Linked DNA regions of Arabidopsis thaliana. The protein of the gene in region 2 interacts with the protein of the main gene of each other region in a biochemical or structural test. Each region holds a gene or a part of one and is shown on either strand. Other genes may lie near its edges.

The links. Proteins that work in one complex are often made in the same cells at the same time.
Region 1: the proteins of SR1 (region 2) and CBL2 form a complex in vitro, tested with the Arabidopsis thaliana proteins (4 studies listed by BioGRID, with this or other methods).

The regions. Positions count from the first base shown.
Region 1 is NC_003076.8:22,668,527-22,674,929, forward strand, and holds CBL2 (calcineurin B-like protein 2), read left to right. Parts: upstream 1-2,586; 5' UTR 2,587-3,019; intron 3,020-3,488; 5' UTR 3,489-3,545; intron 3,546-3,626; 5' UTR 3,627-3,662; coding exon 3,663-3,786; intron 3,787-3,922; coding exon 3,923-4,005; intron 4,006-4,103; coding exon 4,104-4,163; intron 4,164-4,259; coding exon 4,260-4,368; intron 4,369-4,443; coding exon 4,444-4,496; intron 4,497-4,590; coding exon 4,591-4,671; intron 4,672-4,748; coding exon 4,749-4,861; intron 4,862-4,995; coding exon 4,996-5,053; 3' UTR 5,054-5,104; exon of another isoform or gene 5,105-5,329; intron 5,330-5,387; 3' UTR 5,388-5,574; downstream 5,575-6,403. Other genes in the region: AT5G55970 (RING/U-box superfamily protein), read left to right, coding at 1-4, 86-458, 640-786; AT5G55980 (serine-rich protein-like protein), read left to right, coding at 1,775-2,116. UniProt on the Arabidopsis thaliana protein: Acts as a calcium sensor. CBL proteins interact with CIPK serine-threonine protein kinases. Binding of a CBL protein to the regulatory NAF domain of a CIPK protein lead to the activation of the kinase in a calcium-dependent manner.
Region 2 is NC_003076.8:311,927-317,435, reverse strand, and holds SR1 (serine/threonine protein kinase 1), read left to right. Parts: upstream 1-2,030; 5' UTR 2,031-2,684; coding exon 2,685-4,013; 3' UTR 4,014-4,246; downstream 4,247-5,509. UniProt on the Arabidopsis thaliana protein: CIPK serine-threonine protein kinases interact with CBL proteins. Binding of a CBL protein to the regulatory NAF domain of CIPK protein lead to the activation of the kinase in a calcium-dependent manner.

The sequences.
Region 1 (6,403 bases), about 22 Mb from region 2:
CTAGGTAACACTCAAAAATCTTTATCTTTTGTCGATTATGAATCCAAAACCTTTACAAGATCCTGATATTGCTCTATGTTTGCAGGTCCTCTCACTTGATGAACAAATGCAGAACGTCGCTAGAGCTTTTCTTTGCGATTTGGTTTGTGATTGGAAATGTTTGGGTGTTCGATTCTAGGTTTGGTTCTTTCCACCATGCTCCCAAGCTTCACGTTCTCTGCGTCTCTCTTTTAGCTTGGAACGCTATCTGCTATTCCTTTCCCTTTCTTCTCTTCCTCTTCCTCTGTTGCCTTGTTCCTCTCATAAGTAGCCTCCTTGGATATAACATGAACATGGGATCCTCAGACAGAGCAGCATCAGATGACCAAATCTCTAGTCTCCCTAGCTGGAAATTCAAACGAATCGACGATAGTGCTTCTGATTCTGATTCAGATTCAGCTACTGTAACTGATGATCCAGTAAGTCCTAATTCTTTTACTCTCAATTCAAGCCAAATCCACAAGTTTTCTTGGACCATAAGGTTTAATCTGTGATAGCTCTGTTTTGATCCACTAAGGGAATCTGATGTCGAATGTTGTCTATTAGTCTCGTTTATGATTGAAAAGGACTTAGATTTTGAGTTTTGATTTGGTTTTGCAGGAGTGTTGTATATGTTTGGCAAAGTATAAAGACAAAGAAGAAGTAAGGAAGCTTCCATGTTCACATAAGTTTCACTCAAAGTGTGTAGATCAATGGCTTCGTATCATCTCTTGTTGTCCTCTCTGCAAACAAGATCTTCCAAGATGACAAAGCAAATACCCTAAAAGCAACAAAAGCTCAATATAATTTTTTTCTTTCTCAGTTTTTTTTTTTTTTAGTTTTGGATTGAAGCAAAGTCGATTACTTGTGTGAGTGTCAAATTTTTTGTACATAAAGAGCTCACCAGTAATCGTTATGTACATTGTGAGTAGATGATGCAAATCACAATGGCAACAACTTTATAGAATCTTAATATAGTGTTTATACTACATATTTTGTTTTTTCTCTCGTCTCATTTACATATCTTGATGTATATATTTTTTTATATGTTCAATTTTTTTTTTTGCAATTTAAAACTGAAAACCCAAACATTACTTCATTAACTATCAATTAGGATGTCGGTTTTCTTAAAAGAAATATTTTTATAGCATTAACTATATCTCATAAGTATAAAAGTTTTGGACATGGCATCTAAATAGTTGGAGTCTTTGAGATGGTTTTGACTTCAGCTATATAAGTAAGTCTTAGGGTGTTTAATTTAGAGTTTGAATTTTAAGCCTTTGAGTCTGTCAAAACCTAAAATAGGCACAAACCAAACAAAAACAATCAGATGTTTTTTTTTGGTTACAGAATCTTTAAATTAGACTGTTCTAGATTCTCAATTGGCACTAACACAACTAAGTATGTTCCTAATTGGTTGAAAAGTCATAATATTTGTCCTTGCACAAAATGTGTAAACCATAAAAAGAAGAATAAAACCTCCAAGTCAAATATTTTCTACTAATTTACAATAACTCTTTTCTAGAATACTAACCACCAATAACTTAAAAAAGCAGTTTGTCAACAACATCCAACGACTATTTTTAGCTGCCTTCTCTCACAAGTCACTATTATAAATGACCTTTTGGATTCATTAGCAAGAAACAACACAAATCATTCTTTACCTTCATAACAAAAGTCACTATAGAAATTACCTTTTGATTCATTAGCAAGAAACAACAACACAAATTCATTCTTATTTACGTTCGTCAAAACCATGACGAAAGAAAACCCTTCAACCCTAAATCTCGGACAACCTAAGGCACAAGAAAAGTATTCCACAAGTTTAGCCAAGATCAACCCTAAACCCTCCGGTAGCTCTACCGTTGAATCGAAGAGCCAAGACAATAACTCACCTAGTTTAAAACGTTGGAGATCGTCCTCCGGTAAATCTACGAGGCTAAATTGTTTATGTTCTCCGACGACACACGCCGGTTCTTTCAGGTGCAGGTATCACCGCGTTGATTCGTTGACACGTGCCGGGTCTATTGGGTCGAACCTCGCTGTTTTATTGTCGTCCAAGTCGAGCCGGTTTAGTGACTCCCTCAAGGCTCAGTAAACCCGGTTACTGGATTTGTTCGGTATAATAACTGTCGGTTTTGTTATTTGTTTGTTTCTTCTACTTCTTCTTTTGACATTGTTCAATAATTTTTATCGAAAAAGACATTGGTCTGTATTACTAAACCGCTTGAAATCGGCTTAACCCGATTCAAGGTAAACTTTTATCTAATTTTCACCAATTTGATTCAAATTTAAGCATTTATTACATACACATTTTATATGCTTCAAAAATACTTGAAATGAATTTTTCTGTCTACATTTTATATAAAGAAAATATAAAATAATTTTACGAAGTCAGAAATAATACGCAATATAATATATTTTTGCAAATTTATATATATTGTAAACGTTTTGATGATCACATTATTTTTAAAATTTCTGAAGATATAATTGAACTTATCATTTCGGGAGGTTCGATTTTATATGTTACTTGTCAAAAATTTAAAATTTGACAATAGAAAAAAATGGCTATATCACATATTATCTTTGATTTTGTATGATTATTTTGCATTTAACATCGTAAAAAATGTACTAATTTGAAGATTTTTTGAAAACTTAAATTCTCCAATAGCACAATAGATCATATATTCTATGGGTGAATGTGAAATTCAAATTTATGTCCGGTTCAATTCAGCTCGAGTTTTACTTAACCGGAACGAAAATCAAATCGAACCGTATTTTGAAGAATAAAACGACGACGATTTGAGCAGATTTTTCAGGATTTAATTTGTAATAATGCAAAAAGATTGAGTTTTTGTTGTTTGTTGAGATATTTAAAAAGATTCTTCAGGTTTTAATTTGTTTTCCAACTCTCTCCTCTGCTTTACAACAAATCGTCTCCGTCTTCCTCGCTCAGCTTCAACAACCAGAGCCGACTTGAGATTGAGAATCAACGTAATCGGTAAATTTTCGTATACGCAAATCCATTCTACTCATTTTGAGTTCACTTACATATCAAGATTCTTCTATCTCTGTTGAATCTGCGATTCACGAATCCATTAGGACGATTTTTGGGGATCTAGATCGGGTTTTGTTTCTCAGAACCTGTAATTGATTGTGTAATCCTTGAGTTCATTAATGTATAAATTCAAATTTCCCAATTTGGGTTTGTTTCTGATGGATTTTATTAATTTTGTGTGTCCATAAATTGTGATGTTTAAGATTAAAATTTGGTTAATGAGCTTTGATTAAGTCTTTAGATTCTCCATTAATTTTCTTATCTTCTTCAATATTGTATATATTATGTGGACATAACTGAATCATCTGAATAGTAAAATCATGATAATGACTTCAGTTTCTAAGCAATGTTTGTGTTGCCTATATTGACTGACTTATTTAGATTACTCTGAATTTTGCAACTTGTGTTACAGATACTCTCGCAAAGTCTCATCCTTTCTCAGCAAAAAACACTAGGAAATGGTTGAAAGGTACAGTGTTCTTCATATGCTTGCTTCTGTAGAGCTGTTTTTTGAAATTAGCAAAACAAGTTCACAATGTTTTATATGCAGGCATGGAGAGTTTTGATTTGCTGCTTAAGATATATCATGTCGCAGTGCGTTGACGGTATCAAGCATTTATGCACCTCTGTTTTAGGGTGTTTTGATCTTGATTTGTATAAACAATCTGGTGGCCTTGGAGATCCTGAATTGCTTGCAAGAGACACTGTTTGTATGCCCTATCACCTTCTCTACTCTTTTTTTTTTTTTTTTTTTCCGGTTATAAGATTCGATGCAATACCATTTGAGGAATGCAAAAATATTTCTTCTGAAGACTATTGATGATTGAATTTGGTTTTGGAATGCAGTTAGTGTGAGTGAAATAGAAGCTCTTTATGAGCTTTTTAAGAAAATCAGCAGTGCCGTGATTGATGATGGGCTAATAAACAAGGTATAACTCTAACTTGTTTGATCTTCTTCCTCATTTGGTAAAGCTTTAGTGATTGATCTAACAATCTGTCTAATTTACTCATCTCTTGTTTGTATCAGGAAGAGTTTCAGTTGGCTTTGTTTAAGACAAATAAAAAAGAGAGTTTGTTTGCAGATCGGGTAATGTTTCTTTCTTCACATTATAAGTGTTCTTAAACCCATTTTTGTCAAGATCAAGTTTAGAAGAAATGCTGAAATATGTGATTTTGTTTCTAGGTTTTCGATTTGTTTGATACAAAGCACAATGGAATACTGGGGTTTGAGGAATTTGCTCGTGCTCTCTCCGTCTTTCACCCAAATGCGCCTATAGATGACAAAATTCACTGTACGTCCCTTTTAGCTTGTATCTCAAAAACAAGATTGGGATAACACATTAATGATATATACTATTTTTTTGCAGTTTCATTTCAGCTATATGATCTTAAACAGCAAGGGTTTATCGAACGGCAAGAGGTAAAGCTTCCATATCTTCAAATAGCTTCATATATAACCTTGTAGAAGTGCGCTTTATTATCCTCACTGACATTTTCGTCCATCATTTGTCCAGGTGAAACAAATGGTTGTCGCTACGCTTGCTGAATCTGGAATGAATTTGAAGGATACTGTCATTGAGGATATAATCGACAAGGTAAGTTACTTACTTTTTTTCCTCTTCACCCTATATTTTTTCTTTGAAAGTAATTTCCCGAGTTTTGAATGTTTCAGACGTTTGAGGAAGCAGACACAAAACACGATGGAAAGATCGATAAGGAAGAGTGGAGAAGCCTTGTTCTTAGACATCCCAGCCTTCTGAAGAACATGACTCTTCAATATCTCAAGTGAGTTCCAAATCTTTCTATTTATATAACCAGGATTGAATCTATTCAACCAAATTCCTTCTCTGGTTTCTCTTTCTTCTATTCTCCATGATATGTAATAAAGGTCGTGATCCTGTTGTGTGCTTGCTCTGCAGGGATATCACGACTACGTTTCCAAGCTTTGTGTTCCATTCTCAGGTTGAAGATACCTGAAAAAGCAAAAGCAAAAGCAAGCAGCGGCAAGACATCATTGTATTGTTGAAGGTTGTTCTTTCGTTATGGTTCTTTATTTGTTACATTTCTAAATCTCTGAACTCATTTTATTTTTTATTGAGCTTTTTTTGTGAAGCAAAATTCTTCTTTTTAGTTTGGTTTTTGTCCTTTTTGATTTCGCTCGGTCTATCTGTAGATACAACTTTTGCATCTTGATGTTATGGTAATGTAAAGTTTTTCAGTTTATTTATTAATCCAATTAAAAAGATTTGCTTCAATCTCTGTGTTTTGGTTATTAGAGTTAGCTTTTAATATTAATTCAATGGATTTCTAGATTGCAAGCAAAACTAGTCATTTCATATGTGACTTGTAAGCAAAACTAGTCAAAACTGAGTGATGTCACCAGCCCTCCTAATGACGAGTTTTCCGAGATCAGCTCCACAAGAATCAACTTACATGATGACAAAAAGTGGATCTTCGATGAGACGCCATTAGAGAGAAGAGGAGATGATCTTACCAACAAGGGTATACGAAAGCAGAGCTTCGGGGGATGGTTGAGAAGCAGAGACATGAATAATGTTCTTCCAAAAAGAAGAAGAGGTGAGAAAAGGGAAAAAAAACCTAATTGAAGAATTAGCGATTTTCCCTCACCAAGAACCCTACATTAATACAAAAGGAAGTGACTTGCCAATCAAGTTTCCCATCCATTGTAGATGAGGGGAACATTGTGTTTGTAGTAAGGCAATGGAAGAATGACTCATTTATGCTTCAATGACTTCCATGTTCTTTCTTGAGGAGAAGGAAGACCATTCTTCTTGTTTTGCTACACAAGACTGAAATAAGAAACCTCTTCTAAAAGTTCTTCACGCTCCATGTAGACTATCTCTTTCTCCAAGGAGCGCTTTTCATTTAGAAAAAGCAACTTTTACTCTTCATCTTATCTTCGGCCATACTAGACGCAAACTCAACTTCAAGATCAAACAGTGCTTCTAAAGCCAACTCAACTCAATAGCCATACTTCATGCCGTCTCTTCAGCTTTTTTATCTTTCAAAGGAATATTTCATTAATATGATTTAGTTTTTATTTTATATACATCATTTTGACATATATATTTTTGAAAATTAATTTTATGCTTTAAACCACAAAAAAGTTTAAGTTTGGACCTTTCACATTTAGGTTTCAATTATTGTCTACATGTTTTCATAACTATATTCACACAAATAACTAAAATCTCCTCATAGAAAAAAGATTAATTGGTTTGAAAGAATAAAAAGAGTATAAAAGATTATTTTTCTATGGTTAAAAAATATGAGAGATTTGCCTTGGAAACGATAGTTAAAATTCAAAGA
Region 2 (5,509 bases):
AAAAAAAAGAATTCTGGTTTTACGATATCAAATATCAATACATGCATATCGTGGACGGACAAATACTGTAATTAGATGTTGAATTAATGGAAATTATATAGTCGCCAGACCATTAATAAACGTAAGACAATGCTTACGGGAGATATCAGTTATGTTATCGTACGTTTCTTTCTTCTGCACGAAAGCCCTTTATTTTTCTTCCTGCAGCCTTCATTTATTCTTGCATTACGTTTTTTTTTTTTTTTTGTAAACGTGTTTATAACATATTAACATGGACCTCGTATATTCCATTTTTTTAATTCATTTTATTTATGTTTTCTTTTGTTAATTACTTCAGAAGTTATTTATGGTCATATATATTATATCGTTAAATTTTGTCGTAAAAATGGGTTATATGGTCACATTAATCTTGCATGGGACCAAAAGTAACAAGCTAAATTAATAATGTATTCTTTTATTTTGTTTGTCAACAATTAATAATGTATTCAAAATCAGTAGATATTTTGATTGGAGCAACCTTTCGAACCAACGAAAGAAAAGGGGCAATTATATAACCATCCATTTTTATTGACAGAACCTTGATTTCGTAATTATTTAACGAGCTTCTTTCCTTCCTCCTTCTCTTTTTCCCCAACGAAAGAAGCTTCCATGAAACAGCATCAGAAAAAATCAAAATTAAAAACAAATGAAATCTTTCGTACATCACATTATTAACGCGGTAATTTATTTTTATTTTATTCCCGTACATGTCTTTTAATGGATTTATATATATTAAAAAAGATGTTGATTTGGTTTTATGTGAATACTGTAGTACTAATTTATGCCTACCAAAAAAAAATAGTACTAATTTATGTGTGGCTTGGATTTATATATATGTACAAATGGGCACAGCGTGACAGCGAAAATAGTAACGTACGATTTATCTAATCTTTAAAACGTTGTGTGTTTTGGATAAATTACAAAAATAATTAAAATTGATTTTATATTTTGTTGTACGCTGCGGTGGGTAGATCACGTCGTAGATTTACTATAAAAATTGACACTGCAAAATTTATCCTCTTTTTTTTGGTATTAAACTTTAACCAAAACTTCACAAGATTATAAAAGCCTTGCACTCTAACAATGCAATGCGATGATTTCTAAGTCGTCAAATGTTTAAGTCTGAGGAATTGGGACATAATTAGTGTGATTGTGGGTAGTGATCATACATGGAACTAATACATCTTTATAAAATTATACTGACTTTCCAACTTAGCTAAGTAAGAAAATAGTAACTATTAAAAAAAAACAATGAGATAATGTTAAATATTAATCAAATTTGTTTTTCTTTTTTATTTTGGGCAAAAGTTATTTTTTCAAGCGCACTGTTTGTACTTTATAATGTGAAACATATATTGAAAATAATCAATTGAAATCTTAAATGTAGTCATATTTCTTTTTTTCAAAAAGCATCAAATAGATCAATTTGCCCATAAGACTCGATTTATTTTTCCACGAATATGGGAAAAAACAACTGGAGATTTTTAAAAAGGAATGACATATGTTTTCCAAATGTATTAACTAATGATTCCAACATAAGCAAATATATTTTCTAAAAATAGTGAAATAAACAACTGTGAAATGTATACAAAAAGCATGAAATATATTTTCCCAAGTATTGTTTAAATTTGATAAATAATTCAAGTTATTTGGAACAGTGATGGAGTGGAAAAATAAACATAAGAATCATAATTAAAAATGAACGTAGAGTTTAGATAGTGATTTGAAAAGATTAAGGAAGATTAGGAAATGACACTAGTTATAGGACGATTCCAACCTTGAGCAGTGGGGCGGGAGTTGTAGTAACCTGTCAACCGCAATATATAGCCTGGTGCTCAAAATGAGACTTGAACTAATACTAATAAGGGGAATTTGGATGTTCAAAGGACTTAACCACGATTGATGACTAAACAAAGCAGTGGTTAGCTGAATTACTAACTAACTAGAGCTAGCTGCCTAGGCTAGTCGAAAGAACAATTCTCCGTTTTGAGTTGACCATAAAATAATAATATTCAACAATATTGGAGGAAACATGTTTATATGTTCTTGTAATAATAATATTATAGCAAATAGCCGAAGATACGACGAAGCGTATATGTGTGAAATGAGTATATTCTACAGCCTAAACCCTCGGAGATACCAAATCAACACGACAACAGCGACGGGACACCTGTATGGTTCTAATTCAACTTCTTGTCCACATCTTCATCTTCTTCTTCTTCTTTTTTTAATAGATATATTAAGAAAACAAAACAGAAAATCTCCCACGTCTTTACAAAGAAAATAAAGAAGAAGAAAATAAGGAAAAAGAATCTGATAGTAATTGACAAAAATACCCTCATCTCCTACCTCAAGACAGTAATATATATGTAACAACTCGATACAGAGCATGGCTTATCTCTTATCCGAATCCTCCCAATTTGTCTGTCTCTCTTTTGTTTTCTCTGCTAACAGATCTCTCTAAATATCTGTTACTTTTGTTCATATCTTTTTACTTTTCAAACTACTAATTTTCCTTTCGCTTCTTCTATTAATAACAACACTCTCTCTCTCAGACTTCTTTTCTTTTTTTTCTACGGCGTTGATTCATTCGCAATGACCTCAGTTTCTGTGTACCATAATTGACCTAGCAGATTCTGTTTTTAATGGTAGATTCTGACCCGGTGGAATTTCCGCCGGAGAACCGCCGTGGACAGCTCTTCGGCAAATACGAGGTCGGAAAATTGGTGGGATGCGGCGCCTTCGCGAAAGTGTACCACGGGAGGAGCACAGCGACGGGTCAGAGCGTTGCGATCAAAGTGGTGAGCAAGCAACGGCTGCAGAAAGGAGGACTCAATGGCAACATTCAGAGAGAGATCGCTATCATGCACCGTCTGCGCCACCCTTCTATCGTGCGCCTGTTCGAGGTCCTCGCCACCAAATCCAAGATCTTCTTCGTCATGGAATTCGCCAAGGGCGGTGAGCTATTCGCCAAAGTCTCCAAGGGCAGGTTCTGCGAGGATCTTAGCCGTCGTTATTTCCAGCAGCTCATCTCCGCCGTCGGATATTGCCACTCCCGCGGCATCTTTCACCGTGATCTCAAACCGGAGAATCTCCTCCTCGACGAGAAGCTCGATTTGAAGATCTCTGATTTCGGACTCAGCGCTCTTACCGATCAGATCCGACCCGACGGCCTCCTCCACACACTCTGTGGTACGCCGGCGTACGTGGCGCCTGAGGTTTTGGCGAAGAAAGGGTACGACGGTGCTAAAATCGACATATGGTCATGTGGAATCATACTGTTCGTCCTCAACGCCGGTTATCTCCCTTTCAACGACCATAATCTCATGGTTATGTACCGGAAAATCTACAAGGGAGAATTTCGCATTCCCAAGTGGACCTCACCGGATCTCCGGCGACTGCTGACTCGGCTTTTAGACACGAATCCGCAGACGAGGATCACTATCGAAGAGATCATCCACGATCCATGGTTCAAACAGGGCTACGACGATCGGATGTCTAAATTCCATCTAGAGGACTCCGATATGAAACTCCCGGCGGACGAGACCGACAGCGAGATGGGAGCAAGGAGGATGAACGCATTCGACATCATCTCAGGATCTCCAGGGTTCAATCTCTCCGGTCTTTTCGGAGACGCCAGAAAGTACGACCGAGTGGAACGGTTCGTGTCGGCGTGGACGGCGGAGAGGGTGGTGGAGAGGCTGGAGGAGATCGTGTCGGCGGAGAATCTGACGGTGGCGAAGAAGGAAACATGGGGGATGAAGATCGAGGGGCAAAAAGGTAACTTCGCAATGGTGGTTGAGATAAACCAGCTAACGGACGAGCTGGTTATGATAGAGGTGAGGAAGAGACAAAGAGCCGCTGCATCTGGACGAGATTTATGGACAGATACACTCAGGCCTTTCTTCGTCGAGCTTGTGCACGAATCAGACCAAACGGACCCAGAACCAACTCAAGTACATACGACGTCGTAGTTTAGGTATCTGTCAAATAAATTATCCAAATAATAATTAAAAAAAAATATCCCGGGTTATATGTAATTGCTTTTTTTTTTACCCGGAGAATATCTCTGACATAATTATTCAGGAAATTTCTCGACAAATCTTAATTTTTAGTTGGCAAGTATGTATCTTCTTGTTATGTAATCATAATTATATTTTATATAAATGAAAAATAAAATATAAAAAAATGTATTACTTGTTTTAAATGGCCACTATAATACATTAGTAACGTATCGTGGATGTGAAGTAATGCTATGTGTACAAGACACTCTAACTTAACCATTACTTAAGGATTAGTTAACTATTCAACATGATATTTAACATACATATAGATGTAATTTTTAACAACTCATAAAACACAGTCTTCTTCTGCTATTAATTTTGTCATTATGTAAAAAGAAGTGTCAAGATTTGAGCCATGAACTAACACAACTGATCTACTTTCACCTTTTTGATAAGTAAGAGGTTGTCCTTATCACATCATTGTAAAAATATACTATTAAAATAGATATATAGCTAGTGGACTTTATATAATCCTATCGCATGTGGCTGTGATATAAGATCATACACCAATAATTCTCATCAATCATTTTCTTTTCTTGGTATCCACATTGAATCCAATCATCCATAATCCATTAATTTCAGCTTCAGCAGTTATAATTACTGTAATCAACATATATATCACCTTTTCAATGCAATAATTGTAGGCTCCACGATCTATATATTATCCAATTTACTATATACACAATCACATCGTACACTTTTAAAGCACTTAATATGCTTTAATTAATTCCTTAATTGTGGTTATATGTAACTAATTATCCTGTTGAGCATAAAAGGAAAAGTAGGAAACACACAAATGCAAAAATCTGACGAGCACGTTATGTTGGTTAGATTACGAAAAGACAAGAGTCTTAAATTGGGTGGTTTCCTTGGTTCTCCTTCAATCCAATTTGTAGTTGTTGGCCCACTAAAAGATAGCGGATTAAGCAAAACCCTTAGAAAAATATACTCTGCACTCTATGATAAAAGGTTTTGATTTGACCAACTGATAAATGTATGGTGTATATCCGATTATGGGCCAACGTGGTCCACTGGAGGCCGTGAATTCAATGAGCTTGTCCATTTTAGTCGTCTTCTCGAATTGGCCCAATCACAATCATCCAACCAATAAAGACACTTTGTCATTTTCCAATACATGTATGAACACTAATCTTACCATTGGATTCTTTTTCTCATTTTTTTAACACCATTTCTTACCAAAAAAATAGAAGAAGAAAACACACCATTAACAAATTCTGTAACGTAAGTTAAATTATAAATTTGTTTTGACTTTGTTAATACACAAAAAGATCATCCAAAAGACTACAATAATACGAAATAACTACAAAATAGTAGTATAATGCTTCCTAAAACCGTTGTCGGTCTATTGGCTTATTTCATTAAGGCTCAATTTATTTTATTTTATC